2 linked regions of the Tamandua tetradactyla genome follow. Each later gene encodes a partner of the first gene's protein in a complex. Links are inferred from orthologs where the notes say so. Each region holds a gene or a part of one and is shown on either strand. Other genes may lie near its edges. The genes, in order: KPNB1 and PTHLH.

The links.
Region 2: the proteins of KPNB1 (region 1) and PTHLH are in contact, whole or in part, in a crystal structure (PDB 1M5N), measured with the Homo sapiens proteins. The link is inferred for Tamandua tetradactyla from reciprocal best matches to the Homo sapiens genes KPNB1 and PTHLH. Residues at the interface, in NP_002256.2 of Homo sapiens: Val55, Tyr104, Pro106, Gln111, Glu152, Tyr156, Gln159, Asn196, Leu199, Asn200, Gln239, Glu274, Gln278, Glu281, Asp288, Ile295, Ser298, Glu299, Asp339, Asp340, Trp342, Val350, Met353, Glu395, Trp430, Arg434, Glu437, Asn469, Trp472; in NP_945316.1 of Homo sapiens: Tyr103, Thr105, Gln106, Glu107, Thr108, Asn109, Lys110, Val111, Glu112, Thr113, Tyr114, Lys120, Thr121, Pro122, Gly123, Lys124, Lys125, Lys126, Lys127, Lys129.

What each region holds. Positions count from the first base shown.
Region 1 is NC_135332.1:29,002,845-29,014,842, reverse strand, and holds the start of KPNB1 (importin subunit beta-1), read right to left. Parts: upstream 4,673-11,998; 5' UTR 4,319-4,672; coding exon 4,279-4,318; intron 4,173-4,278; coding exon 4,114-4,172; intron 2,055-4,113; coding exon 1,872-2,054; intron 1-1,871.
Region 2 is NC_135333.1:91,192,318-91,204,086, reverse strand, and holds the start of PTHLH (parathyroid hormone-related protein), read left to right. Parts: upstream 1-5,934; 5' UTR 5,935-6,136; intron 6,137-8,224; exon of another isoform or gene 8,225-8,777; intron 8,778-8,959; 5' UTR 8,960-8,984; coding exon 8,985-9,085; intron 9,086-11,769. UniProt on the Homo sapiens protein: Neuroendocrine peptide which is a critical regulator of cellular and organ growth, development, migration, differentiation and survival and of epithelial calcium ion transport.

The sequences.
Region 1 (11,998 bases):
TTAATACCTGAGTAGTGAAATTTCTTTTAAACCAGGGATGGCCCTAATAATACTCATGCGGAATAAGAGGAATAAGAAACTAGCTCAATTGTGTCCTAAGATTCACATTTCAAAAAAGAAAACTGACCATCAGTACTGAGAGACAGTATTAATTATCAGATGTGCTATAAAAGACATTCGGTTTGACAACTGGTCAAATTAATATTTAGAATTTAATAAACTCTGCCATCTGAATTTGTAGATTTTTTCCTTGTTGCCTTAATTTTAATTGGTTTATGAAACTTACTGTACAAACACAGATTTTACAATGATTATTTGGATACTTTATTTAAATACGCCTAAGATATCCCATTTTTGGTGGTTCTCAGTGTATTGTGTTTTTATAAATTTAAAAAACATTAAAAAAAATGAAACGAAACCAAAAAAAAAGACAATCAAGGTAAAATGGTCAAGATGACTGCTTTTTGTTTTCATGCACAAGGGTTCAACCATGCTTATGTAATTCAAAATTTACAAAATATTGGTGTTAAGTGACATGTCAAAAAAATGTTAAATATAGTTTCTATCATGTCTTATCTCATTTAGTATTATGTAATTCGAAGATAAAGAAAAAATCAAATGGGCACTACAGTCATCAAGACTTCCAGTGAAGGAGAAAATTTCATTTATATAAAATTGCCCAGGAGAGGGGGATTAAAATATTATTATATAAGCAGACTCAATGTGGATAGAAATAGCTCCACATATTCCAAAGAAGATTCAAAATAAACTGGCTTTCTAACCTACAGTTTCTGTTGCAGACAACTCCATGTAATACTGGAGCAGAAAGGAAGTAAACAGCTAATGCTGACACCTAGAACCAACCAGGAAATGGCAAATATGATGAGGATAACTAAGACCCACACAGGTACACATGTAGCAATCCCATGTTGGTTTCCTCAAATATCAAGGACCCACTGATGACTGCACAGATGCTAAACTTACTCCTCTTTGTGCCTTATAAAAACAGTCCACTTTTAGAACCTAATTAGAAAAAGAGAAAGCACACCTGTCTATGTATTCTGAGTCCTTTGCTTCAAGCTAGAACGATGCATTTCTAATTCAACAAAGTCATATGAACTTCATGATGCAAAGCAACCAGATAGTCAATTTTCTTCACATACTAGGAATATCTGTTATCCCAACTTTTCGAACATCTTGGAAAAAAACAACAGATCTTTCTTAAAGAAAGTGTTTCATAATCTGCTAAGTAGATAAAAGCACAATGTCATATCCCTATTTCATAAATTCTGGGCTTGAAAGGCTCGAGAGATCTTTTAATGTCTCTTCTGACTATACTACACACTGCCATGGCTAAATCACCAAAGCATGACAATTATCTGCAGCAGAACTTCACTAAGAACTAGGTGCTGGATGTCTGTGAAAGAATCATTTGGGAAGACAGTTTTAAAAATAATTCCTGAAACTTATTCTAGACCTATTAAATCAGAATCTCTAGAAAAATCTTAGAAATTAATATTATAATATTATTAGCAAATTCCCTAAGTATTCTGACATACCCAAGTTTCGGAAGTACCAATTTATGTACCATTCCAATCTACCAAATGGATTCTACAAATTCCTTTAATCACCGATCTAAAGTTTTCCCAAACAGCTATGTCCACCTAGGTTATCTGAAAATAAGTCCATTCCATCAGTGAAAACGGACAAGTTGAACTGAGAAAAATATTTAAATCAAGCACAATTTTTATCTTCAAGTGAGGTTCAGGTTCCTGAAACCTATCATACTGTGAGCTCCAGTTCAGCAAATGACAAAAGAACCAACATGTTTAATCCCTAAACATTATGACGAAAAAGAGAAAGTTACTTACATAGTTCTTGACTTCTCGTCGGGCATTAGCATCAATAGCAAGCCATCTCTGCTGATACTGTGCCTTGATGTCTGGATCCTTAGATGTCAGAGAGTTCTTGATTTGTAGCCCAGCTGCAACTCTGGCAACCTGACTGTTTCCTGGATTTGCCAGCACTCTGGACAGTTCCACAAGGAAAGTGGGCTGTTAAGAGATGTATTTGCGAATGAAAATATCTGGTAGGAGTTTCACCAGTTGAGGATAGCTTATGGAGCATGAAACCTTTTTTCCTTTTAAGGACAGATTATTAGTGCCACAGAAAACTCCAAAATATCTACTTCAAAAATTCCATTTAAATGTAACTTAACATATGAGTAAATAGTCTTCTCAGGCAATGGCAAACAATACAAGAGTGGCAGATTTTCCTACCAAGGTCATTCTTAGAGCCCAAGTTTTCAAATCACATCCCCAGATTTAAAGCAAGTTTGCAATCTGGTAGGCAATGGACCTTCATGCTGAAATGTCCCAAACGCCTAAAATAGTGCTTGTAACTAAGTATACGTTGAATGAATTAACGTTATGACAGGAATGTAAAATTGATATTCTTTTAAAAACTTTAGTCCAAAAAGAATTTCAGTGTGACTTTTGATCTCATGAAAACAGAAAATCTTGTATGAGAGGAAAATACTTGTAGGGAAATCTAAAACAGATTGAGGAGCCTAGTCCTCTGTACTTTAGTTGCAAGCATGAACCAACTTTCAGCAAAAGGGGAACAAAGGGAAAAAAAAGTAGATTTACAAGAAAAAGTTAGTGATAAGTATTAGAAACTGGGATAGAGAAAAACTGAAAAGATAAAAACTGTCAAGGCAAATTGTTCCAAAGAATATGACAAATATAAATGGCTAAAAGCCTCTATACAGTTTGGTATTAGTTATCCACGAAACTTAATGGAGCCCTAAAAAATATATTCAATCTCTTATAACACACAAGTCCCCAAACCACACCCCTTACGATTTCTGACACACACACACATTCCTGCACCCCCAAAAGCCCTACTCAAATGTAAAAGTTAACAGGAAAAGCCAAAAGGAGAGTTTCTGACTACTAACAACTACTGTTCACCATAGAATTTTCACATCAGAAGATAATTCTTAAAAGTCGTATTTAGTTTTGTATCATTATAACATGCTAGGTATGAAGGCTTCTGCAAATTAGCAAAAGCAGAAACGGGTGTCTATACTAGTGGAAAAATCCTTTCTGGGGAAAATTAAGGGTAAAAATATCAGCAGAAGAAACTATTCAAAGGTAGTTTGTATGAAATAAGACTTGCCACTTCTTTCTTACATTATTTTATCTAAATAACTCAAAGTGACCCATTTGGTTACAGTGTTAACTACATATTACTTATACTTTCAAAAGATGTCAAGTATCATCCACCTTTCCCTCTGCTCCACATCCTCCCAAATACAGGGAAACCGAAGGGAAGCAAGTGGCACACGGCTTGTTTCAATCAATCCATCCCACATTCTCAAACAGAAAATGTGCTCCTTAAATCTGAAAACTCCAAAATGAGGAACTTTGCTCTGTGATTTCCTCAGGAAATAGGACCGATCAAGAATGAACCCCAGTCTGAGTACAGATTCCAAATATCTACTCATGGATGTTAAAAAAATAAAAAAAAACACCAAAAAACCCAGGAAAGAACAAATCAGGCAGTATAGGGAGAAATATTAGGAGACATGGGTTAACTGGCATTCGGGTGCTAGGCCTGGCGGTGAGCACAGGCCAAGCTAAATCGGTAAGAGTTGAGGTCTGGTAAGTAGATGGAAAACCACAGGGGCCATGGGACAGGAAGAGGAAGCCGGTTCGGGTCTAGAGCAGAGCGGGCAGCTGGGCTCTGAGCTTCCACATGGCCCCTAGGCCCGGCTCCCCCACCCCCACCCTCGCCGAACACGCAGCGCGGCGCAACCTAACTTCCCTTCCCTCCCTCTTTCTCCCTCCCGCTGCACCGCCGCCCTCAGGCCGTGCGATGATTGGGCGGCAGTCACCCCGGTGAGCCGCGTCATTGGCCAGCTTCAGGGGCCCGGGGCGGGACACACCCACCGGCTTCCCGATGGCGGGGTTAGGTTGGAGCCGGGCGGGGGGAGGGGGACGGGATGGGGCGGGGTAGGTTCCCGAGGCCTGGGCCTCCAGGAGGGCGGGAAGGCCCCGGACGCAGGAGATGGGGAGACGGCGGGATAGGGAACGGCGGGATTGCACGCACCAGGTTCTCTACGGCCGCACGCTCCAGGAACTTCTGCGCCGCTTCCAGTTCAAGCCGATCTGGGGGGAAGCAAAGTGGGAAAGGGAACAGGGTCAAAGGGGCCTGGGCCTCCCCTCCCCCCACTTAAAATCACCTCAGCCCGAACCCCCAGCCCCCGCGTCCTACCGGGAGACACAGTCTTCTCGAGGATGGTGATTAGCTCCATGGCGGAGGTGATAGCAGCGACTTCCCCTAGGACGATGGTCCGGCCTCTCGGGCGGCGGCTCTAACTGGGGGTGGGGGTTGGGGGTCGGGTGGGAAGGGAGGGTGGGGTGGGGGGCGGGGGTCACCACAAGCCCATTCACCGGTTCCCTCTTGGTAGTTCCGGCGCCCTTTCCTTCCTTCTTTCTTTCCTTCTTCCCTCCTACTTTGCTGCTGGCGGCCGCGGCAACTACTCTTGTAGCGGTGGGGTAGGCACCCCGGGGGCAGCTCAGATCGCGGCTGGTGTTCGGGTGGCGGAGGGAGAAAGAAGGAAGAGAGGCAGTGAGTGAACGGCGACTCGCAGGGAGGGAGAGAGAGGGAGGGAGGGAGGGAGGCGGAGGGATATTCGGGCCGGACCTCGCCGCGGCGGCACCGCGCTCCAGTTCGATTGGCTGCTGCCGTGGGCACGCGGAATCCCCAATTGGTCAGGCGGGCAGGGTTGAAGGGCCGCCGTGCGCCAATTCGCCCGCTGGCTTCATGACCCGGATTGGCTGGGCGGGCAGGGAAATGGAGCGCGCGGATTGGCCGACGTGAGGGAGGTTGGGGTGGGGCCGGCGAGAGCCGGCAGCGGGTTGGATTGGCCTGGTAAAGGCCTTGAGCTTAGACACGCTGAGCGCTTGGAGGAGGATGGACTAAAGGCAAGGCTCCAAGCTCGGGTGATTGGCTGGCATACTAGACGTCGATAGGATAGCGCGCCCGGGAGAACTGGGAGAAGAGTTCGGGGTCGGGTCCGCGGGAAGGCGGGAGGCGCCAGGGTGCTTTGGGTGCCCGGCGCAGGGCACGATGGGACGCCCCCGGGAAGGGGCGGCGCTTTGCTCGGGCCGCTTCGGGCTGCGGTTGAGAAAGCGCCCTTGCTCCGAGGGGTGTGTTGTGTGAGTGCTTGGCGGTCCTGAGCGGGGGAGGGGAGACCGTTAAATCTCTGCCGCGCTCACAGGAAGCTGTTTTAATGGTTAGGTCTATTTGGCACCAGACTTTCGTTTGGGAACTACCTTGGAGACCATTTGGTTCAACTTTAATTTTGCACATGTGGAAACTGAGGCCAGAGAGGGTATGGAATTTTACAAGGTCACACAGCCGGATAGTGGCCTGGTCAGGATAGACTGTAGTGCCCCTGACTGCCCTTCACCCTGCATGCGGCTTCCCCTCCAAGGAGATGAATGCATTAGCAGTCCTACATTTTTTGGGGGGGTTTTAGGCCTGTGCTGTAACAAGTCCTAACTCGAATACGGATAGGCATTTGGATTCCTCTTAAGTGCCCGGTCTTTAGCTACCAGGTAATTGAAGGAATAGAGATGAATTTCATCTTCCAAAGGTTACCTTATAAAACACATCTGCGAACCAGAAAGAATGGGTGTATGGGCATAAAGGATTAGCAAAATGCACATAAAGAAAACGTGGCATAGTACATGGGCCCCAGGTTAGGAATTTCCTAGACTGTTAAATTTTTTTACCTTATTGATCATAGGTTTGATTGAAGAGAGTTATTTTTCATTTGCCTTGGTGTTACGAAGTAATTGCCCTACTTGAACCACACTGGGAAAACCCAGGAGATAATTTGTCCATGCTGAGAGGTTCCACTGAAGATATAGGAAAATCTGGCCAGCTACCCTCTGAAACGAAAAGTAGAGACATCTGCAGTCCTGAAGCTGAAAGTGAGGGGACACCATTCCTCACACCATCCTGTAACTTATTGATCTTTTCAGGTTTAGTATTCCACCTAGCTCCAGCCTTTTGCTTCATCTGTTAACTGATAGATGAAGTTTAACTTTGTTAGGAATCAGTGAAGCTTGTGTGAGCACAGGACAGTCTTTGAATTGTCCTGACGTGGTTTACTCACTGAATGATACACAATTTTGTTTCACTCCAAACCAACTTTTTCCTGCCCTCCAGAAGTTTGATGGGCCATCTCCTCTGCTCAGTATTAGTCATGATAACGCCAGTGAAGGCAAATTGATTTTTTGGTTGTTAGATTGTGTGCTACAGAAAATTTAAGTTTGGATAAAATAAGCATCTCTTCTTTCAGTTTCATATAGTAGATGAATTATATAATACAGACAATAACATTATTTACCATGTATTCTGATTTACCTCAGTCCCAAGCAGATCAGCTTTGTTCTTATCTCTACTTGAAGTCTAATCTTTTTTTTGACTTAACAGTTGCTGTAGGTCTTTTTTTTATATTTTTATTTTTTAAATTTTTTATTTTTTTACATGGGCAGGCACCGGGAATCGAACCTGGGTCCTCTGGCATGACAGGCAAGCATTCTTGCCGCTGAGCCATCATGGCCCTGCTGTAGGTCTTTGAAAGCTACAGAACTCCCACTTTGAGTCTTAGTTGTCACTCCAGTACCCAAAGTTCCAGGTAAATAACAGGTTGTACACAAAGAGCATAGCATCTCAGAATCTAGAAGTAAAACTTAAATCTTAGGAATAAATGTGACTATTGTAAGAGTTTATAATCTAGCTCCTAATTTTTTCATAATATAGTTTCTAAAAGAGACCATACAATATTTGTCCTTCTCTTTCTGGTTTTATTTTTTTATTTTGCTCAAAATAATGTCCTCACAGTTTGTTCACCTCATGGGACTTCATTCCTTTCTGTAGCCACACAATATTCCATTGTAATATACACCATAGTTCGGAAGGCAAATTGATTGTTAAACTAACTGAAATAAAATGCTGGGAAGATAAGTTTTGCAGCAGAGTTCCATCATATATAAGATCCTTACCAAAACCAAAATTGAATAATTACAGGTGATAGTGTTTAGGTGATAGGTGACAAGCTGTATCCAAAGCACTCTTCTGTATTTGACAATGCTAGTGAAGCCCCATAGCGTTGGGCAACACATTGGGAATTGACTGCATGGGTTCATAACCCAGCTTTACCACTTCTTAGCTTGTGTGACTTACTTTCCTCACTTGTAAAATGGAGCTAATAACAGTATTTACTTCATAGGGTTGTTGGGAGGTACTAAATGAGTTAATATATATTAAGTGCTAATAACACTACCTGGCATATTATGTATATATAGATGTATAAATATGCATCTATTTGGCTTGTATTTTGTGCTCAGAAGTTTTTGGTCTTCGGTGTACTAATGAACATAGATTTAGTTAATCTCACATCCAAATATAAAGTTATGAAAGTGAAAGATGCCAAGGAATGACCCAGACAGAGGCTCAGGGAAAGCTTAGAGGATGGGAAGGGAGTTAGTTACTCAGGTGATGAAGGGAGGAGCAACATGTGCAAAGGCCCCTTGGTGGGAGGGCCTTGGGGTCTTCAAGGAACTGAAAGAAGGCCAGTACCCCAAAACATGGAGAACAAGGGGTTGTGATAAAGCTGGAGAGTTAAGTGGGGCCAAGACCATAAGAGACCTTGCAGACTGAAAGGGGTTTTATCTGTATCATATAGGGGATACAACAGGAGCTATTGAAAGGTTTCAAGAAGGATGGTTGTGATGTGGAGATAGATTGGAGAGGAACAAGAATAGATGCAGGTAGACCGGTCAGCAGGCCATTGCAGTAATCTAGGTGAGAGATGATACTTGTAGCAAGGAGAAAGGTGGGGATAATGATGGAAATAGAAGTAGATAGCAAAATCAGTTGGTTTGGTGATTGTCTCGAAAAAGAGGGAAGTGTATTGTGTCTACCGGATTTCTGGCTTGTACTGTGGAATGAATGAGAGAAATTGAAGGCCACATGGTTTAGTAGAATGGAGAGGAATAGGCAGGGAATTTCAGCTTGTATTTCCTGAGCTGTGTATTGGAGTACATAGTTTTTTATATTCTCTATAGCTTTTTTGTATGTTGGGAATATTCATAATAAATACACTTTTTAATTTTAAAAAATGAACAAATTCTGAAATTGAAGAGAAAAAAACGTTTTTGTCTTACTCCACTATTTCATTCTGTGTGATTCTGAACAAGCTATGTAACCTTTTGAATCTGTGAAACATCTCATAGGGTGGTGTGAGCATAAATGGAAGCCCCTCTGTGAAGGAACTCGCTACAATTATCTTGTGCCAGGAGATTTTCAGCAGTTTCTGTTATGTGGGTGAATTAGTAAATATTAGAGATGAGCTAAAATTTTCCTAATCAGTCCCCCTTATGACCCACAGCACAGATGTGTAAGGTGACTCGCTATGATGGGAGGAGCAGTGAGGCCATGACCCTGATGCCATTTTCTACTGAGCAAAGTTGACTGATTGGTAGAGGGGTTAAATCTAGGCCTCTTTGCTTTAAGGGACACTGTGTACTTAAGGTTAGTTGATTGCATTCATTTTTCTGTAGGCATAGTATACTTCAATTAAAAAGTTATGCAAAATATATAAGGTGTTATGTAATGTTCAAAGAAAAAAGTTTTTGTTATATTTTTGTAACCTTGAAGAGAAAAAAAAAAGTGGGAATGTATAAGCCAAATGTTGTTAATGGCTGTCTCTGGATTTACAGATAATTTTTCTATGCTTTTTTAGTTCTCCTCAGTGTATTCCACGTTTTCTTTGATGAAAATGTATTGCTTTTTTACTTACTTTTTTTGTTTGTTTTTTCTTGGGCGGGTTGGAGGGGCATGGTCTGGTAATTGAACCCGGATCTCCCACATGGAAGGTGAACATTCTACCAGTGACCCTCCCATGCACCCTAATGTATTGCTTTTTTAATCAGAAAAAGTTTTAGAACTTCTTTTATTAAAATCAAAGAAAAGAGGTAGGGAAAAATGTTCAAAAAGGATTATTAAGCTCAAGGCCCCTATATCACTTGACACAACTATCCTTCTGTAACTGATCTTTGGAAAATAGGTGATGATTTTTTAAACGTATTCTTCCCAGAGCTAAAAGGGATGCAGTGTTGGGGAGACAGAAGAAAAAAAAAATCAAATAAAGAACAAATTGGTAAAAGCATCCTGAATCCAAACTTGGGAGGATCTCAGAGAAGCTTGAGCAAAGCTAAATGGAGCAAATTATTTAGTTATTTCTCCTCACCCATCCTAGCGGCCTGCCTTGTTTTGCCAAAGAACCTGGAGATGGAGCCAAACATCCTCAGCTGCTTTCTGCTTTCATTCACTCAATTTTTTATTTCCTTCCTTTGTTCTTTTTGTGATTATCAAAGTAATACATGCTCCTCACTATAGAAATTTTTAAAAGAATAAAAAGAAGCAGAAATCACTTGTAATCCTTAATTATATCCACCATTAAAATATTGACATATTTTTCCTAACATAATTCAATTTTAAATGAAAACTGATATAACTTATTACTCCCCCCACTCCAAAATGTACTTTTAAGAATTTAAATTAGTTCAACTCTTTATGAGACTGCATTTAAAAAAAAAAGGATGATTTATAAATGAAAGACATACTGTGATCATGGATTGGCAGAGTTAATGTTGTTAAGATGTCAGTACTTCTCAAAGCAATATAAAGATTCAATGCAATTGCAGTAAAAATTGAAACAACTGTCTTTACAAAATGGAAAAAGTGAATTATCAAATTCATAAGGAAGGGTAAGCAGTCCCAAATAGCCAAAACCCTCTTGAAAAGAACAAAGTTGGAGGGCTCACACATCCAAGTTTCAAAATTTGTTACAAAGCTACATTTATCAAAATGATGTGGTACTGACAAAAGGACAGACATATAAAACAATGGACAGAATTGAGAGTTTAGAAATAAACCAATTTTTTGTACCAGTTTATTTTTGACAAGTGTCCCAAGTACACTCAATGGGAAAAGTATAGTCTCATCAACAAATGGTGCTGGGAAAATGGAATCTCCACATGCAAAATAATTTTGAATTAATTTTTGTATAGGTGTTTATAGTAGACTCCTATCTTACACCTATACAAAAATCAATTCCAAGTGGATCAATAACCTAAATAAGAGATAAAACTCCTAGAAGAAAACATAAGGAAATATCTTTAAGACCTTGTATTAGGGAATGGATTTTTAGACTTCACTTTGAAAGCACAAGCAAAAGAGAAGTAATAGACAAAATGGACTTCATCAAAATTAAAAACTTTTGTGCATCAAAGGAAATTATCAAGAAAGTGAAAAGAATCTGCAGAATGTGAGAAAATATTTGGAAACCGCGTATCTGATGGGGATTTAGTATCAAGAATATATAAAGAACTCCTACAACTCAACAACAATTAAAAATGGATCAAGGACTGAAATAGACATTGCTTGAAAGAGGTTATACAGAGGTGCAATAAGCACATGAAAAGATGTTCAATATCATTAGCCATTCGGAAAATGCAAATCAGAACCTCAAGGAGAGGGCGATGCAATGTGGCTCAGTGGCAGAATTCTCTCCTGCCATGCAAGAGACCCCAGTTCGATTTGATTCCTGGTGCCTCCCCATGCAAAAAAAAAAAATAAAAATAACCATTTCACATCAACTAAAAATGCTACTGTTAAAAAAAAAAAGGGAAAATCAGTGTTGGAGAGGATGTGGAGTAATCATTGTTGGTGGGAATGTAAATGGTGCAGCTGCTGTGGAAAACAGTTTGGTGATTCCTCAACAAATTAAGTATAGAATTAACATGTGACCTGGCAATTCCACTTCTAGGTATATACCCCCAAAATTTGAAAGCAGAGATTATTTGCACACCAATGCTTACAGCAACGTTATTCACAATAGCCAAAAGGTGAGAGCAACCCCAAGTGTCCAATGAATGGATAAATAAAATGCGGTAAATATGTACAATGGAATATTATTCAATCATAGAAAGGAATGAAGTTCTGATACATGCAGCATGGATGAACCTTGAAGACACCATGTTGAGTGAAGTAAGCTAAATACAAAAGGATAAATATTGTATGATCTTGCTAAGTGATGTAAAATAATTAGAATATGCAACTTCCCAGAGTCAGAAACTAGAATACAAGTTACCAGGGCAGGGGTGGGTGAGAATGGGGCATATTTGTGTGTATATGTATATATAAAGAAACACTAGAGAATAAAACAGAGCTTAAAAATATAACCATTAACTTCAATGGAAAGGTTGGAAGAGAAAATTGAGGAAACATCCATAAGCAAAACAAAACAAAAATACCAAATAGCTGGGAAATAGGCACACATGAAAAAATGAAAAGGTTAAAAGTTAGGTCAGAATGGAGGGGAGGCAATCATTTAAGGAATAATTAAAGAAATTGTCTCAGAACTAAATAGTCTAGGTTTCCAGAATGAGAGACCTCTAGTGTATCCAACATGATGACGAAAAAGAATCACACTAGGGTATGCCATCATGAAGTTTCAGAGCACTGTGTAAATAGAAGAGCATAAATTCTTCCATAAAAAAAAGGCTGGTCATATTCAAAGGAATAGCTATCCAAATGTCATCTTGCTCTTTAGGGGCAATTTTGAAAGACAACAGAGGAATGTTTTCAAATTATTTATAACCTAGAATTTTACAAATTAACCAGATTGTCAATTCAGTAGAGTAAGCATATTTTTAGATGTGTGAAATCTTAAAAATTTTACTTCTCATCCATGTACTCTTTCTCAGGAAATTACTGGAGGATGTGGTGCACCAAAAGGACAGTATAAACCAAGAAACAGGAAGCCGTGTAATTTAGACAACAGAATAGTCCATCTAGGTGAGAAGTAAAGGGAATCCCTAAAATGGTGACGAAGGGAAATCCCGAGGTGACT
Region 2 (11,769 bases), on another chromosome or scaffold:
GTATTACAGACTCAAAAGTACACTCTGTTGTACCTCGACAATGAAACTCTTTTAAAAATGTGGGTTTTGGGAACCATATCAACCACCTTTGAGTTCCCGCTCCATTTGAGGCTATCACAGGTCTTTTGAAGAACAATTTAACTACTATAGACATGCACACTTTTGCCTATTAAGAACAGCAAAGAATGTGTTTTTAGGACAAAAAAAAATTTATCCTTTCCACAAAAAGAAACTTCTTTTTTTTTTTTTAACTATTAAATGTACCTTGAAAGTTCCATACAAGTAACAGCTTAGCAAGATGAGAACTAAAAGAGTAAAGTGCGACAGAATTCTGTAAAGGTCATTTTAAATTTCTTAGCATAACACTCCCACATAATAGCTGATCTCATATATTCTGATGCATCAGAAGTCCACAATTTTCCCCTCATTTACCAGTTTCTGGGAAGTGAAGCACAAACAAAATGAAGGAAAAAAAATCTTCAAGGGAGCATATAATATAATACCATGCACTAGACATTAGGGAAAGAAAGATTTCTAAAACTTAATAAGATACAGGATGCCCACCAAATCCGCCACAGTTTTTAAAAATTATGCTTTACAAAAGATTCCCAGCAGCAGATCAAAGAACTTTATACAAGAATGTTGGAAAACACATCTAAAATAATAAAATATGCTTTTATTCCTCAAAAATGAGGAGGCAGGTAGAAAGAACTGCAATTCAATTTGAATCCTCAAATATCTTCAAAAGACCTACTCTGGACTCATGGCAATTTTGGGGATATTGTGAAGGTGAGCAGAACACAAGCAAGGGACTGATGAAGTTTTTTTAAAAGCTCATAGACAATTATACCAATTGAATGCTTGCCTTTTGAAAGCCCAAAAACAATTTTACAACTCTAACAGAGAGCTGGTACAAAGTTCTAATACTTTCCCCCAAAAAATTTATTGATTTAAATGGATAAAAAGATGAGACCTTAAAAAAACTAATAAAAAAGACACCGGGGAAACAATTTTTTTTAATAAACTGAATAGAATTAGACTGAACTTTAGAGGGAAAATTCTCAATTGGTTTCACTATGAAGAGAGGCAAATATTACATTACAGAGAGGGAGAAAGAGAGAGAGAGAGAAACTTTCCCTAAACTATATGAGCAGATAACATATAAAAGAATGAAATCTGTTTATATGCCTCACTACCATTTTATCTTTATTCTTTCATAGAAACGAGGCTAAAGAGATTAAGAGGGGAAGGCTGATGCCAAAGAATTTATAGAACAAAACTAAACTTCTAAGTTGCAAATTAATAATAAAATCTTTTTCAGGGTTTGTTTTATACTTTTCAAGGAAATGGGTACACATGCAAACCTTGTTCAATTATTTTTTAAAATATCCAGAGTCAGGGAAAGTAAAATGTTTTATATCAATTTTATTGACTTGGGAAAATATTTTTAGATGAATTTACAGAGATATTCCATTTTCTTCCACTTAAAAAATATTATAGAGCCAGAAATTGAGGGGGACAGAGAGAAAAGCTACTAAAATTATTAAATCATAATAGTTCTATTTTACATCAGGCATTCTGGAAGTTGTTTATAAACACAAATTCACACACACACAAAGTATAAAAACAGCAAACAATGATGTTCTCCAATCTTATGTCTTATATGAAAACAAATAAAAAGTTCCTTTATGCACAGGATGGTAATTAAATACCCTCATAAATAAAGGCACAGAACACAAATTAGATTTATAAATATTTAGAATATTTCAGGGTTTTGTTTTGTTTTTTTTTGTATATAGGGGAATTCGTTATTCAGTTGGAGACTTGGAATCTCTAGTAGAGATAAGTAATGATTACCAGGGGAAATTAAAAGATAAAAAAGTAAAATATAGTGAGAATTAAAAGGGCAAAACATCCTTTGCCTTGAACACATATAAGAGCTTAAGTTCATAAGCATTTCTTCATAAGAATATGTCACGACAACCGGGCAGAATTGTGTCTCAGAACAAACCTACAAGTACGACCCTCCCACCCCCCACCCTCTCCCACCCCACTCCGGCAATTTCTTTGCTTCTTGCTTTGCTAAAAGAAAAGTGGCAATCAGACAGACACTATTCCCAGGGCTCTCGTGTATAATGAAGATGTTGTTCCTCCAAACAATAATAAACTGCAAAGGACCCTGCCTAGGAAAAGAACTGACCAAAAACCCTGAGACACCTGGCAACTCCCAACAGCAGCTTGCCCACGCCATAGAAGCGGATGTTGTGCACATTACCATAGCATAGCGCAAGGTGCAAATGCAATGGTCAGTTCGTGGATGCTTTTAAGAAACTTGAGAAGCATATCGAGTTTATCAACTTGCTTGTAGCTTTTTAAAGAACAGAACATTTTAAAAGGGAGAAGAGGGAGGTTGTGGAGGTGGGCAAACATATCTTAAATTAAGCACGTGAAATAGACTCTCAGGAAGGGCAACTAAAAGGAAACCCCCTGTTTAGACTCAAGAGTTCTTTTCCACATTATCTCTGGAATTCTGCCTCTGTGCAATTGCGCATCCCGGAGTTGTGCAAAAGAACACATCTAGTCTCATGCCCGGCGCACAGGGGCTCAGTCATTGGGAGACTCGGGTGCGAGGGTGTCACAGTGCCTGAGGGTGAGGTGGGGTGGGGGTGGGGGTCTTCGCCTCACCAGGACAGCCTGAGCACGCCGGTCAAGGAGTCTTAACCACCATGGACAGCTCACAGGCTTCCTCCAGCCAGCTCCGCGCCGTTTACAAACTCCATAGGAGCCACCAGCGAGGTTGATTTGTATGCCCTGGAGAAATGCCCTGTGTTCCACAGTCTGCACCCCCTGCGATCGCCAACTGCAACCACTGAGTTGCTATATATAGACAAAGCAAGTTTCGGGAGTTAATACTCCTCTTCTTGCCCTCAAATAAGTCCTTTAAGGTGCCTCCGGATTCTAAGAATCAGACGGAGAGAGTTGACAAAGACAGCTTCGTGCCACGTCCCTTCATTTCCTCTCCTCGTCTCTCACTGCGCCCGCCCAAACCTTGGCTTTACGGATCGTGTTAAACGAAATAAAACAGACTGATCCCAGGGCTCCAGAAGCCAAGCTTCCCTGGCGCGGGGGAGGTGAGGAGGGAGAGAGTGAGTCTCGGGCCTCTGGAAGGAGGGGAGTCGTCCCTCCACACCCCTACTTGCACCCAGCCCTGGACCTGGAAGTTGGGGGTGGTGGTGGAATGTCTGCCCCCCCTCCCCCCACCCCCTTCCACTCCCACCGGGAATATATCATCACCATATGCTTTGGGGCTTATCTCAGGTTTGAGTCATAAATTGACCTGGAGGGAGAAGGGAGGGAGGGCCCAACTTGGAGGAAATTCTCTCGCTCCTTTGGACCCTGGCCTCGGGACGGGACGGGGACTTGATGTTCCCAGAGCTTCCGCTCTCCTGCAGCGTTTGCGGGGCCCCTGCTGAAGAAACGGGGGGACTGGGCAGGCACTCTAACGGTCCCAGGGTCTGAATGCTTGTACCTAAAGGGGCGGGATGGGGAGGAGCGAGAAGGCTGCAATTCCAACGCTTCAGGCAAAACGGATTCTGTGCCGCAACCAGGAGGCCGGATTTTTAGGGGGACCGCCAAGGTGAACCCAGGGAGCTCAGCTAAGTCTTGCCAAGGGGCTACTCGCCTCTGAAGTTCCAAAAAAGCCTAAGATCCCGGTCAGCCAAGCCCGGGTCCTCCCTAGGGATCATCTCTGCAATCAGAGACCCACGTCTGTCGCGGGAGGTGGGGAGCTAATAAAGATCATCCCGTCGCCCCTCCACTCCCGCTCCCCGCCTCTTCCAAGACCCGGGATCCTGCTTTAAGGGACACGGGCCTCCCCTTGCAGCTACCCGCGCGCAAAAGCTAGGCCAGGAGACCCCAAAAAGCGCGGGCGAAACTTTCACGCTTGATGCCTCCTGGGACCTTTTTTTCGGACTTCCCCAGGAAGGGGGAAGTCAGGGCCGGAAGACACCGTAATCATGAGCTCAAAGCCAAGCAGACTGAGCGCCTTCAGTGTGGGTGTCTGGATGCCTTTCTGCCTGAGAGGATGGACACTCTAGTCCAGGTGCAGCCTTAACGAGATTGGCCAGATTTGCAGCGGCGGAGAAAGGTGTTAGAGAGGTACACGGCTTCCCAGGTCCCAGCGACTCTCCCCAGCAGCGCCTACCAGGCGGCTCCGGCCGGAAATGAAGGGACGATTCCCACCCATCATAGGGCAGCCGGGCGGCGGCCAAGAAGCCTCTGTGGGGCTACCCGACATAAATTACAGGTTGGAGGATTGTAGGATGAGCCAGGTGGGACTTGGAACTCCCTGTGCTCTCCTACCAGCTCAGAGCTTCCTACTTAGAAAGAGCCAAGGATTTGGTCTAGCCAAGGGCGTGGGGTAGGCACCGGTCCAAGAGATCAGGATTCGGACACTACACATTTTTTTCTCGCTTTCTTTCTTTCCACGATCCCTACGCCCATCCCTGGGGAGAAGACTCTTCTGCAGAAGTGTTTTTATGGTTATTGGTTTGGAAAGTGCACAAGCACTCATTTTAGAGAATTGGTCCCAAGAGATCCCATTCCTTAATGATTGTTTCATTGCATGTTGGCTTGAACTCCTCCCGGGAAATTAGCCTCACGTCTGGTGCCTGGGAAAGCTGTTTGGCCAGGAAGGAGGGACAGGTGAGGATGGGTTAAGGCCACTTTTTCAAGGGAGCTATCCAGTCAGCCTGATGCATAGCTAGGCTCTGTACCCTGAGGCAGTTCCTTCAGATGTCGCCAGCCATCTCTTCCCAGAGGAGAAGCCTCTGTTTGAGTTTTAATTCTTATCTAACTACAAAGAGATTTAATAATGAAACCTGCCCTTTTCTAATTCTACTTGGAATTTAAAGGTATTACATTTCCTTTTCTCTTTTGCTACCTTGAGGTCAGCTGGCAATAGCCATTTCTCAAGTCTCAGTATGGGCAAGTGAGTAGAACCCTCTTGGAATGGAACCAAATGATTATTTGAACTGGTTATGCAAACTTGTCTATGCAAACAGAAAAAGGTCAGAGAAGAGAAGGGATGGATTTAGTTGTTTGATTTTATAGAACTTTTTAATGACCTTCTTTAAATTGTAATTGAATTATCCATGAGTATAAAATAATTCATACATAATGTTTGTTGTGACAAACAGCATGCTTTCATGGGATTTCAAAGAAAAGCTTGGAGCAACAGATTGGCAAATGTTAAATCTGGATGCCTACTGGGAATAAGACAAGGAAATTTCTGAGCCCAGGTGCACTAGGCACTTTTTTTGGTTTGTACTATTATTTATTGGCTTGTTGTTTGGACTGAGGAAGCAAGAAAGAAGAAAGACAAAGAAGCTAAACATAAACACTACTTTATTTTTTTGTAAATTCCAAGAGGAGATAGCCCTGGAGATATGTCAGCTGGTTAGTCAAACATGAATTTAAAACTACATTCAGAAATATAGAAAACCTCTTTTAAAAATTGGGATAAAACACTGCCAATGGGGGTTGGAAGATGGAAGTCTGGGACTTGCCTGTGGGCTACGTATTTGTGTAGGTGTAGATCTCACAATGCCAAATTCTGCACTTGAAAACACTTCAGATTAAAGGCAGGCCTTCAAAACATCCTATTTGCTAGGTGCATTCATGAGGATAACAAGGCCTAGCAAAACATTCAGATTCTTTATTGGCACTGGTTCTTTTCCTAAGCCTCAGCCTCACAAAAAAAAAAGGCAACCTCCTAACATGCCTCATTTGCAGTCATGTGTCCTCAACATTACTGTAGAGGTTACTCAGCTATATTGGGAGCTAGATGATGTCAGAAAATATTCTTTTCCAAAGAGACAGGGCCTAGGTATATAATGAGACAAATTTCAGACTTTCTACTGTGGGTAATAAGCAGGGCAGCTTAGATGAGGTGCCTGCTTTCTAATAATTACCTTTGGTGAAAGCATAAAGGGCTCCTTACAGGAAGTTTTAAATTCATTTAAGATTTAATGTTACTTTTCTAAAGAACAAAAAATAATTATTTCAGGAAGAGACTGCTGAAAAGATCTCCCTCTTTTGGCCAGAAGGGCAGAGAGAAGACTAAATCAAGAAAAAGGTGAGGTAATAAATTAAGAGGAAATTTCCATATTTCAAGTATATAAAGACTATTTATTTTTCCTGTGTCTATATATTTTTTCTTTTCGTGGAGGAGAGGAAATTCTAAAAATACTTGATAGATGTTTTACCATTAACACCAGAAAAGAGTGGGGGGGGGGGGGGGAAGAAAGGCGGGAAGGAGAAAGGGGTCAATTTTGTTTAAGTAGAAAAAGCAACATAAATCAAAGCAGTTTATTGAAGCCAGTCTTTCGTTTATAATGTTCTGGGAGTATAATGAATTTATTTACAGCATAAGTGATTTAATATTTTCAATGTGAATTTTGTTTTTAACCTTTTATTGGGAGAGGGTTGACTTTTTAAAGCCTGAGTAGTTTAAAACTTGGCTAAGTAGCCTTGGATTTTTTTATTATGGAAGCAAATATTATCATTTTAATGTGAAACATCTTGCAAGTATTAAATAGCTTGTTTGTGATTTACTTTTTACAGATTTCCCCCAGATCTAAAGATTACATTAAGTCTCCTGCATCTTTTTTGGAAAGAATTTATTATAAATCAGAAAGTGTTAGAGGTTCAAAGGTTGATATTTCTTACTGCTATTTCTTTCATGCCATGAAAACAGGTCTAACATTTAGAAATTCTTAAACATTCAAGGGAAGTTGTGGAAATTCCCAAACATTTTGGGGGGGGGGGGTAGTGTGGAAAGCAAGTCCTGTTTTGTTTTTAAGTATAGAGTTTAAAGCCATCAAGTGAGGGAGCTTCTGAAAAGGGGTGCCTCGAACAAAACCAAGCATCAAACATTAACTGTTGTTAACGCGAGAGGAGCGGAGAGGAGCGCGGGTCGGTGAGAGGGCGCTATTTCACCCATCCTTGGTAAAATGGTGTGGTTCCTAAATCGGAAAGCCAGGCTTGATAAAGGTCAGACCCCTGAATCACCTCACGCTAGCCTTCCAGAGGGTTGTAAAACCTACCAACAGCATAGCCTGTCTAGAAGATAAATATCCCTTGAATGCTTCCCAACCATCCGCGTTCATTTCAGAAAGATAGAGGAGGCCCATTGGGCGAATGCCCACATCCGCTGCAATCCTTTTATAAATGATACTGCCCAGTAATTCAGAGCAGTTTTTCTTCCAGCCCAACGGCTTTGGGAAGAGCCCTCTGCTTTCGTAGTCTCTCCTGGGCAGAGCAACGTACAGAGATTGTTCCGCTGCATCTGTGGGCAGAAGCAGCCGTTCAGCTCACTCATCCTAAAATTTGTACCAGGGGGTTGGAGGGAAGTGGCGAGAGAGTAGGGGATCTGGAGTTAGGGTAGGTGAGACTGCTGCCGGTGTGCGAAAAGAACCGTGTGCTTGACCCAGGAGCGTCATCCTTCAGCAGTTCAAAAGGTCTTCATCTTCTGCTCGGGTTTTCTTGGATGGGCTCCAGATGTCCCCAGCTGGTCTCTGAGACAGCAAGAAATCCTATCCCGATCTGAAGTCTGAATCCGTTTTTGTTCTTCTAAGCGAAAGATCTCCCCGTCCCTGGCAGATGCTCCCCACTTAACTCGTCCCAGTAAAGAACCAGAGAAAGGGTTTCCATCACGCGCCCCGAGCTCCCCAGCGAGCTTAGGGTTCCTTAAAGCCACAGGCCAATGGCCCGCGACCTCCCTGCCGAGGCTCGGAAGAGCCCGCGCTCCCCTTCTTGGCTCCTCTCGCCAGCCCGCCCACCCGGAGCGGCTGCTGTGACTCGAGGGGGACCGTCACGCGAGCCCTCCGGGACCCCGACTCCCGGATCCGCGGCGGGCGGCGCAGGGCGAAAGCGAGCGGATCCGCCTACGCCCCCGACCCGGGGGACTGAGCTGCGGGGCCCGCGCTCCGGGGTGGGGCCCGGCGGGCCGGGGGCAGCGCCGGGGAAGACGGGGGCGGGGGGCGGGGGGCGGTGCGGCTCGCGCGCATTTCGGGTTCCCCGCGCCCCTCCGCGAGCTCCGGCCGCGCGTCGCCGCCCCCGTCCCCCGCTCGCCCCCAGCGCGTTCCTAGGGCGCCACCTCTTTGCGACTCGCTCACTTTTCCGGCAGGTTTGCCTCCGAGCGTGTGAATATTCCTCTGCTCAGCTTTCACCTCGCCTCCAACCTGCGCCGCCGGGCAGGCATGCCTCCCCGCCCGTGAAGCGGGGCTGCCGCCGCCCCTCTGCGCCGCTGTTAACCCGCCCTCACTGCCACCTGGCCCTCCCGATCGAAGACACACGCACTTGAAACTTGTTCTCAGGGTGTGTGGAATCAACTTTCCGGAAACAACCAGCCCACCAGAGGAGGTAGATAGACAGCTATGGATATATATATGGGTCTCGCTACAAGTGGCTCTGGAACCAAACGGCCTGATTCGCAAAGAAGCTGACTTCGGAGGGACAGGGAGGAAGGCTTTCTCTTCTTTTAGAAGGGAGGTAGCCCTGCTTCCCGAACCCACGAGAGCCGCTGGCCTAATTAGACACTGCTACTGGAGACGTATAAAAACACTACTCAACCTCGATGCATATATAAAACCATTTCATTTTCGCTATTATTTCGGAGGAAGCGCCTCTGATTTTTCTTTTTTTGGGGGGGGGGGGGTCCCTTTTGCCTGTGTGTTTTGGAAAAAGCACAACTGGAGTATCTGGTTCCTAAATAAGTAAGTGCTGAGATAGTCTTCAGAGAAAGTGTGTGTGTGTTTTGTTTTACTATTTGCAATGTGAGAGATCCCCCTTGGTGTTGAAGAGGCTATTTGAGAGCAGACTAAAAGGGGTCGGAGGGGACTGCAGGGAGATGGACAGTCCAGACTGACATTTCGGGCTCTTTTCCACTCTGTTGCAGGTCCAGAGAGCGAGAATCGGATACGATGCTGCGGAGGCTGGTTCAACAGTGGGGCGTCGCGGTGTTCCTGCTGAGCTACTCGGTGCCCTCCTGCGGGCGCTCGGTGGAGGGGCTCGGCCGCCGACTGTGAGTGCTCTGTCCTCCCGGGGGCGCCGGGTGACGGCTGAGGCCAGTGAGAGCGGCTGCCAGGCGGGGCGCTGCCCGGGGCCCGCAACGGTCACAGATGCTCCCCGCCCGGGTTAGATAGCTAGTGATCAGGCTACCTGCGGAAGGCCGAGTCCTCCGACTGCCGGGGAAAACTGGTTGAACCTCAGGGACAGACAGGCGGGAGATAAGTTATAAATGGGTTTCGGTAAGAGGGAGCGTTTTACAGAATCTCCTCTAAGCAAAGATCCTCTGCCCCTAGTGAAAGAAAACGGTTACTTTCAGAACCTGGGAAGATTTTGAAACTCTGCGGGTTACAAGAGAGTTAGATAACTAGGAAGAAGCTGAGGAGTCTTAGGGGACATATGTGTGTGTGCACTTGTGGGCATACTGAAATGTGGCAGTTTGTGTGTGAAAAGCAAAAGGCTGACATCTAATTTTATTATGAATGACATAATTTTAAGCACATAAATGGCACCATATTACATAATGAAGGCACATTATTATATAATAAAGTAGTGACAACTTTGCAGTGGCACTATTTCAGTGTTAGTATTGATGCAGTTCAGCAACACTAGAGTGCTCAATTTTAGATGTGGAAATTTTTCTTGAAATTATTTCTAATGGTTCTTTAATATATGTCTAATATTTGCATTGTAGACTGAAAACTTTTAATTTGGTATTTTCAATTGCTGGTTCTTTTAAGCTTAATTTTGACTTCAGCATAAACATACATCCACACACACGGAGAAGCATCGGGGTGCCCTTTAATTGAAAAGCTGGAAGAGTGGTTTAGAGCAATATGTAACATTATCTTAACATCAGTATTGTGATACAGTTTTTGGATGGTCTTAAACTGCAAACTCAGTTCAGTGTTCTAGAACACTCTAAAGTTGAAGAACTAAGAAGAGTTTGACTCTGGAATAGGAATTGAGACATTTTTGTAATTGTTATACTAACAACAAAAATAGCAATATCTAATATTTACAATCAGATTCATAGAGTATCATTGTAAATTCTCCAGGCTGTGCAAAAAGGTAACTGTTTTGCATGTGCCCTTGGTCTATTATTATTAGAGCAGAAAATCCTTAAGTAAAATTACTTTAGACATGTCTGAACCTTGGCACCAAAATGAAAATCTATTATGAATCTCCCAAAGCAAATTGTGTAGAGCACTGTACTGAAGATAAAGCTGAATCGTATTCCTCCAATCAACATTTTACTGATGTACTTCTGAAAATTATCTCTGGACTTTTGCTCATTTTGAGACTTGTATTAAGTTCAATTTTTTTTTTAGTCATAGATAAATACAGGCGAAGACTGAATTTTTAAAAGCACATTAAATGCTATATTTATTTGGCTAAGAAATACTGTCTTGGAACATAGCCAACTTTTTCTTTAATGCTGTTTAAGAAGTAGTTGCTTTCTCTTTCTGATAAATAATAAATGAACCATGATTAAATCCACAGTTATGAAATAAAATACTGCTAAGTTGTCCTAACAGCTATTTTTAACTCTTTCTTTGTTGCACCTTGCAAAAAAACACATGAAGAAGCATTTAGCAGCCAGAAACTCTGTTACAGTTTTGTTTGTGGGTGAAATATAATAGTGCAGTCAAACGCTCACACTCAGCAGACAAACTACCATGAAACATTCTTGTAGTTAATGGCTAATAGATCATCACATTACAGTCATGATTTTTCATAGAGGCAAAAATCATCAGTAGATGAAGATGTTCCATCAAGTTATTACAGCCAAATGGAGTTTTTAAAAAACAAGTCATTATTTTTGCATTGCTGCCAAGTAACAGTAAATTCTGTGTGCTAGACAAAACAGTCTACTATTAAGCTAAATCAAGCTAGTTTCTTGAACTAGCTTGAAAGAAATTTTAACGTATAGTCAAGCCATACTTCTCCCCAGTTACTCTTCACAACAAGTATTAGGGGAACTGCTTTGAAAACAGATTTTTTAAAGGAGAGGAAACTGCTACAAGAACAATAATAACAGTTGCTATATCAAGCAAAGGAGGAAATAAGAAGTTGCGAGTCTTTTTGACTTGCTAATTCAAAAGACTTTACTTAATGGAGCTTCAGCAGGAGTAATTTGGAGGTTGGAAAGTGAAGCCTATGGACTTTCTTGTTCAAGTGGATAGGGTTTTCCGCAGGTGGCGACCTCTATATTAAGCTAGAGAGGGAACCCCAGTACAGTCGGAAACCTAAAACATCACTGGATGATTTGCTTGGGAACCAGACTGGGTCGATTCCATTTAATGAAAAGCATAACTTTCGACTGAGTCATTTGGGTTGGAAGGGACTTCTGGTGAGTCATCTTAACTCTAACACCCTAACCCTGTCTCTTCCGTGTACCACAGAACTTTTCTTCTCAAACACAAAGTCCTTCCTTAGCAGCCTAGCATCAGCACAGGCATGCTGTTTCTTCCTGTGCTGGAAAAAAAGTCTCCATCACCCTGTTTGTTCCCTGTTCCTTGACAGGTGCTTAAGAAACTTAATCTTCTTCCTTGAAAATTCCTTTGAGAGTCACTTTGCTTTAAAGTGGAAGAGCTATGTTCTGACTAAATTTAGAATTATCTGCATTAAACATTTCCTCACATTTTTGCATTACTCTTGACAATAATGAAAGGAAATCAGGAAGCACAGCATAGTCAT